Linked DNA regions of Arabidopsis thaliana. The protein of the gene in region 1 interacts with the protein of each later gene in a biochemical or structural test. Each region holds a gene or a part of one and is shown in the gene's direction. Other genes may lie near its edges.

Region 1 (3,755 bases):
AAACCTAACCTAATACCTCGAAGAGTTTATCCTAATAGTTGTGAAAGATCAAATCAAGTAATTACCCAAAAAGCTTAACAGGCTGGACTTTCCATAGGATTTGTCTGGCTTAATATACAAAAATGTAAAGAACAGCTTGCATGAGAATGGAAACAAAGGCTAGCACATGTCTTGGTAAGATCTATATAACCTATCGATTTGAGATGCACATAGAAACAAGCATGCTATATATATGAAGCAAATAAATTAGGTGGGGTTGCATTACATTGTATCAAACAGAGCTAAGAATGGAACACATCAAGGTATATTAGAACCTAGCAACTTAAATGCTACAGAAGCCTATGTATCAAATGTGTGATGGAGAGAAGACTTTGCATTTGGATAACACAAGTCACCATAGATGAGACGATCAAGTGTCATATCAGTTGTGCCAATAAAATTTTAGGGATCAATCATTGGTTAGGACTTAGGAATGAGACTAACTAGCTGCTTATGAGGCCTACTTGCAAACTCACTCTCAACCTACCAATGGATCTAGTGAGAGACTACTTGGTTTGGGCCTAGCATGAGCTAAATTTAAAACATTCAATCAGAAGGCTTAGGAAGTTTAACATTCAACAAAAAGGACACAGAGAGAAGAAGGTAGCATTTCAACCGCATAAGACTTCACTGAGATATCTGTACTTACTTTTACTAGAGAACGTGTGTTGCAGTTATTTTTAAAGAGTGAATTCTAAAAAAAAAATAAAAAACAATGTTAGAACTGATCTTTCCTTTGGTAGACACATCCCAGTAGTTGAAATATGTTAATAGTGTTGAAGTTCAAGAGGTGCTAATAGCCAACTTAAACTAAACAGCTGTGACCTTCATTAGCAGAGATGCAACATAAAATGACAAACAGGATAAATGTGCTATTGAAGGCAGATCAGTATACAACCCCAATCTTATGCAACGTTGAAATTATTATTGTTATCATCCTATGAGAAGGAAACCAGAATCAATGTGACAAAGGTAAGAAACGTAAAGTGAATTACCTTGAAGAATCATGTTGGAAGTGGTCCACGGTAAGCACGTTCCTCTCCTGAGCTGAAGAAGACCACAATCGCAGCTAAGATAGCCCAAAGAATGAAACTCAAAAGCACAATGCGGAATTTCACAGTAACAACTCTATCGACCCAGTTAATTTCTGCAGAATTGTCAACTGAACAGATCAGTTTTTTCAGCTCATTGATCTCCCCACGCAAGGATTGCACAGAAGCGGGCAAGTCCACAATCGACTGGATCCGATCAGTAGAAGACGTGTCAATACGAGCCTCCACACTAGTAATGGTTGAAACTGGAGAATCATCAGCCGGAAGACAAATCTCTGGGGTTGACATTAAGTCTAGGCTCGATCCTTGAATAACACTCTGAGGAGAGAACAACATAATTCGAGCCAGTAATCAGTACCCAGACACATAATGGCTAAAATTGAGGTTTAATCTTTCCAATTCGTCATCAAGCGCAGACAAAATCGATTCAATTTTCGAAAATTTAACATCTAATCTTAACGGATCTGAGCGTTTACAAAGCAACACAACGAAAAACTTCGATGGAAACTAAACCTAACTAAAACATTGGAGCGAAGCATATACCTCAGCCTCGGAATCAGAGATCGCACCAGAAATCTGAGAGATCGGACTAAAATCCATCGGATCCTTCGTGCTTTCAAAAGATACGTCGGAAAATGTTGCGATCTGTCTCTTCTCCGTCGTAACCTTCAGTTCAGAGAAGCATTGATTCGAATTTGAGTAGAACGATGTGGGAAGAAGAAAACAATGGCGATTTTAAGGATCGATCTAATAAAATTACCTTCCGATTCTTCATCTCAGGATCCTTGAGTCTCTTAGCTCCGAGTTCTGATGAGCGCGCGAAGCTTTTCCTGGGAATTTGAATTTCCTTCATCTCTCTCCAATGTTTTCAAATTTGGAGCTTGTCAGTTTTCGAAAATGTGAAATAGTGAGTGAACTACAAAACTATCAAGCAAGATAATTTTATTTGTAGTACGCTTCTTACATGGGCTTAAGGGCCGATAACTATTTTTATTCAAGGCCCAATATAGATCGTTCTCGCTCATCGCAAAATTAACCTACTAAACCGGAATTCGGTTCGGTTGTGGTATTGTTTAGCCGGTTTGGTTCCAGCCTCACCCGATAGAATTAGCCTTTAGGGTTTCTAACGTCGAAGCTTGAAACACTATCGAACCTCAAAATCTCTGTTGCCGGAAATTTTCTTCACCGAAACTGAAAGAAGTCGAAAGAGAGAAGAGAAGAAATTGAAGCAATGGAGGGAGCAGAGGAAGCTGGGGCTGAGATAGCGGTTGATTCAAAGGACTTGCAGCAACAAAGCAAAGCTTTCGACAAGCTCACCGATCGTGTCGAGGATCGCCAGCTCGATTCCTCTCGTGTTCAATCGGTATGTAACTCTTTCGTGTCCTGATTTCTGAAAATATTAGGAATTCCGAAATTTTTTTAGCTCGATTAGTAAATTGAAAAGTCGGTATCGTGTTTCAGGCTATGGCTTCGATTGCTGCTTCTAGGGAGGCTGATCTGAATGCTAAGAGGTTGAGGTAAAAACTCTAAGCTTTTCCCGTGTTCTAAATTCTGAAATAGGAGATTATTAGCAATGCTTAATGAAGCTGTAACATAAGTCAAACTCGTTTGTTTCCATTCCTAATTCAGAATTAACTTGATTAATTTGATTACTGCGTTACACTTGTAGTTCAAACTGTAGCTAATCTCTCTGTACAAATTGGTGTTTATCTGTTTTTTTGGGGCTTGGCAACACTTAAGTCTATCTATTTAGACCAAGAGTGTCAATTTTGGAGAATCTGTTTGTTTTTTTGAAATTACTCACATCTAGATAGTATTGACGCCAGATATCAGTTGTGCTGTAATAGCTTTTACTAGAGAAAACACAGCGAGAATGATCAACAAAACAAGTAGAACTTATTATTAATAAGTGATTGAATGTGATTTACGAGTCAATATCATCTTTCGGAAAAGATTAGACTTTTCGTTGTATTTGATTGACAAAGTATTGGAACTTTATGCAGGGAGAAAGAACTGGCCTCTGTGAAGATCAATCCTGCAGATGTTGAGTTTATTGTAAACGAACTTGAGGTTAGCTTCTTTTTATTAGCTTCTTCTATGCATGTGTTCACAAAGTTCTGAAGTTTGTCACCATTGTAAATGAGCAGATAGAAAAGAATGTGGCGGAAAGAACTCTAAGGGAGCACAAAGGTGATGCGGTTGCTGCGACTAGGCAATTGCTTTCACGATATCCTCTATGATGGAGCAGGACCATTCTTTACTTCCAAGGTTTTTTGTATGTTTGAGAGGTTGAGAGCAAGTCTCCTAATATTTAACCGAGTTAAAATTGTCTATTGCTGAACCGATCTCTCTGAGAAGCCCTGAATACAGTTACAATCGATTCTGGGGTGGTGTTTTGTGGTTCTACCTGAAGTTTGAAGTTCAATCTTATTATCAAGATATAAGAATGTGTTCTTCGTTTACTTGGTCTTGGAGCTGTAAAAAGCTTGTGGGATAATCATGGAACATTGGTACAGTACTACTTCAAAGCAAAACAAAATAGAAATACATTCAAGTTTCTAGAAAAAGTTTGAATTAGACTGATGCACAACGAGAACTTCCAAACGAAGGTATTCATTGAAACAAGAAGTTTGTTGATCAACCTGTAGGTTAGTGATAACTTCT
Region 2 (3,755 bases), on another chromosome or scaffold:
TTCTTGGATGAGTTCTAGGGATCCCGAGATTACTCCGAGTAAGTCTCATTGTAAGAAGCCTAAGGATGAAGGACCAACCGAAGAGCACAACAGTAGAAATGCCCCTTCCAACAAGTCAGAACACGCCGAGCCAAGTTCAAATACCACTGAATTCTCTAAACTTATGGTTTGTGTGTGTCTTCATGGTCTTGTTGAGACTCAATTATCTTAAGCTGTCATGTTAGTTTATATGCTTTTGTGATTGAGTTGAAGGTTAAACTATGCAGGAAGGCGTTGTTTTTGTACTTTCGGGCTTTGTTAATCCTGAGAGGAGTACACTGAGGTCACAAGCCTTGACAATGGGAGCCACCTATCAACCTGACTGGAACGCTGGCTCTACCTTGTTGATTTGTGCTTTTCCTAACACTCCAAAGTTCCGTCAAGTTGAAACAAATGGTGGAACAATTATCTCAAAGGTTACCTCTTTGACTCTTCTTATAAGGGATTGTGTGCGGATTTGAATTTCTCCTTTTTGCTGATATTTTATATGATTTCACTGTCTCCAGGAGTGGATAACTGAGTGTTATGCGCAGAAGAAGTTGGTAGATATCGAGCAATACCTTATGCATGCTGGAAAACCATGGAGGAAAAGCAGTAGTCCCCAAGATGCTAATCGAGGTAAAAAGAATTATATTGGAAAGGCTTTAGATAGAATCTCCGTTTTAACCATCCTGAGGTTCATCAAATCACCTTGTTTTTACGTTTATGACAAGAGAAAAGCTTTTCTTATTGCACTGCTTCACTCCGATGTTTAGTTGACTCTGTGAACCTTAATTGATTGTATTCAGAAAAGAGAGAACACCTGTCTAAAAAACCAGAGAAGCAAGTAGAGAAAAAAACAGAAACAAGGGGAACACCATCTACCTCATCCAAGGCATGTTTAAATCTGATGATTTGGTTAACCAAAACGAACCGTATTTTGCTCCAATCAATGGTCTATGACTGTTTATTTCCATATGTTCACAGAATAGATCAGCTTGCAATCTTGTGAAAGAGCCATTTTTTGTTACAGAGGTGAAGAAATGGGCCAGGGATGACCTAAGTCAAACCATCTCATGGCTTGAGAGTCAGGAGGAAAAAGTAAGGGAATTAATATGCTCTTTCAAAAGACATGTTTTCTTGATTGTATGTTTCCGTTATTCTAAAGCCATTGTAACAGCCAGAACCAGGCGAAATCAAGCGAATAGCTGCGGAAGGAGTCTTAACCTGCTTACAAGACGCCATAGATTCTCTTGAACAGAAGCAGGTTAATATCTCTGAAGTCTGAACAATAATAGTTGCCGCCTGTGTACATTTTTGGATTTGTTAAACTTTGATCAGTTTCTTTGAGAAGATCATTGGTTGAATTTATTCTCGAATGTTCTTAATTTTAGGACATTGGATCAGTTACAGAGCTATGGAGCTTTGTCCCTCGTGTAGTGAAGGAGCTTGGAAAGATGGAATCGTCTTCTAAAAAGGAAAATTCAACAGCATCAAAGGAAGAAGTTTGCAAACAAGCAAAGTCGTGGAAAAAGATCTACGAAGCTGAGCTAGCAAAACCGGGCGAAGATGAATCGACCTCTCGGGTTGCTTGTGGCTATGACAGTGATATGACCGTTGAGATGACTGAAGAAGAGATCGAACTTGCTTATAGGAACGTTTCTTTAGAGTGTCTTTAGATCAAACTTGTTTCATTTTGCATATGATCTCTTAAGGAATTCCAAGAATTCTTGTTATACTCGGTTTGTTCGGTTTGAGTAGGATGTTATTACTGATAAAAATTTGAAATAATCCGGTCTGCTTGGTTCGGAAAGAATGTTTCTAATTAGAATTTATTTATGCTGGTTTGGATTCGATTGAGAGATGTAATCGGTTGCAATTAATAAGTCGGTTTGATTTGATACTTTTTAGTGTCGATTGACGATGAATTTGATCGGTTAATACAAATTTGATTTGGTCAATTAGGTTCAGATGTCTCCAGTTTTGAACCGGTTTGGTTCTATCCAATTTAATAACCGTTTTGTAATATCAGACAAACGAATTGAAACCGGAAACATGTACCGATATGGTTAGGATCGAAGAAGATTGATTGAAGACAAGACCCTAATTTATTTATACCCTTATTGGGTTTTGTCTTGTGAGAGTTGTGCCTTTCTTTGTTTCGCAGTAGGGTTGAAGCGGATAGTACGCCACCTCTATCTCTCTCTCACCCTATCGAACTCGCGAAGAACATCTTCTTCTTCTTCTTCTCCGTCTTCGTCTTCGCGAGCTCTCTCAGTAGCGCAATAAAATGGGGGCTTCGCTTCCTCCTAAGGAGGCCAACCTCTTCAAGCTCATCGTCGTATGTTCCGATTCCCTCTCTTTCTTTCTCAGTTTTTACTTTGTCTTAAACATGCGATGTGATGTTCCTGGTCAGCAGAAATTGGAATACGATGAGTTTTATCTGCTCTATTAAACCCTAAATTAAGTTAATCGTCAATGTGTTGGGTCAATAGAAAAATTCGTTGACATATGAAGTAAACTGTGCGGAGTTGTGGTTCCTTAATGTGTTAATTTGATGTACCAAGTTCTTAGCTTCAGTTACTTTTGACTATCGGCTATTATTAGACCTCGATTGCTTCTGGGCTTTTTTAGTCGCTCAGGGATTCGTAGTTTACTTTGAAGAACTTGAAAACCAAGCTTTATCAATATATATATGGTTTCAGCATAGATTTTGGGTTTAACCATTATATTGTTCAACCTGCTTTGAATAGTTGACCTTTTTCTTTATGTAATTTTCGCAAGTAAGTACATCATATATAGTTATTCTGAGTAATCTTATAATGCAGAAATCATATGAGACTAAGCAGTACAAGAAGGGACTCAAGGCAGCTGATGCCATATTAAAAAAGTTTCCTGATCATGGAGGTCAGTTTGTCTTTTATCTAATATCTCCTTCTATTCCTTTGTGATTTAGTGCTAATCTTTTTACTGCTATCTAAATACTTACAACTCTATACTACATACATCAACCGAGATCTCATGACTTGTAGGTCTACTAGGCGCTTCGTTGTCTTGTCTATAGTCTTAAGAATCAATCACTGTTAGAATTTTTATTTTCTTTCTTCCTATTAGAGCAAATAAATTAACTTTTTAGTACAAGGGTAATGCTTGGTATTGTTTAGTTTTGTTAGTAGAGACCAGTTCTGTTTCGTGTTAAACGCAGTTCTTGCTTTTTTTGATTTGTCAACCCTTTTCGTTATTCTTTTCTTTCTTTTAAAACTTGTCGCTCTTATTGTTTGTGATTTTCAGAGACTTTATCGATGAAAGGACTGACTCTAAACTGTATGGACCGCAAAACTGAAGCATATGAGCTTGTTCGACTTGGAGTGAAGGTTTGAATATGCTCTTCAATAATCACAACTTTATTCCTTAGTTTCCAAAATGGTATTTTGTTTTCAGGGTAACATAGGATTTATATACTTCAAATTTTTTCATGCAGAATGATATCAAAAGCCATGTTTGCTGGCATGTGCTTGGTCTTTTGTACCGGTCAGACAGAGAGTATAGAGAAGCAATCAAATGCTACCGAAATGCTCTTAGAATAGATCCTGATAACCTTGAAATACTCAGAGACCTCTCACTTCTGCAGGTAATTATGAGAAAAACTAGATTGAGGTGAATTTATTAGGTGTGCCAGTTATTCTCAAAGCTGATTTTTCATACTTTTTATCACTTTACTTTGTGTAAAGCTTGTT

The links.
Region 2: the proteins of AT3G06610 (region 1) and EMB2753 form a complex in vitro, tested with the Arabidopsis thaliana proteins (one study listed by BioGRID).

What each region holds. Positions count from the first base shown.
Region 1 is NC_003074.8:2,058,515-2,062,269, forward strand, and holds AT3G06610 (DNA-binding enhancer protein-like protein), read left to right. Parts: upstream 1-2,100; 5' UTR 2,101-2,322; coding exon 2,323-2,454; intron 2,455-2,552; coding exon 2,553-2,608; intron 2,609-3,094; coding exon 3,095-3,161; intron 3,162-3,238; coding exon 3,239-3,331; 3' UTR 3,332-3,639; downstream 3,640-3,755. Other genes in the region: AT3G06600 (uncharacterized protein), read right to left, coding at 1,044-1,409, 1,635-1,757, 1,852-1,944.
Region 2 is NC_003070.9:30,233,386-30,237,140, reverse strand, and holds the start of EMB2753 (tetratricopeptide repeat (TPR)-containing protein), read left to right. Parts: upstream 1-2,155; 5' UTR 2,156-2,308; coding exon 2,309-2,359; intron 2,360-2,846; coding exon 2,847-2,925; intron 2,926-3,309; coding exon 3,310-3,392; intron 3,393-3,499; coding exon 3,500-3,649; intron 3,650-3,755. Other genes in the region: ATXRCC1 (BRCT domain-containing DNA repair protein), read left to right, coding at 1-166, 267-455, 546-657, 828-913, 1,006-1,119, 1,199-1,285, 1,413-1,697. UniProt on the Arabidopsis thaliana protein: Auxiliary subunit of the NatA N-alpha-acetyltransferase complex. Required for male gametocyte development, embryogenesis, suspensor development and the formation of the quiescent center (QC) in the root meristem.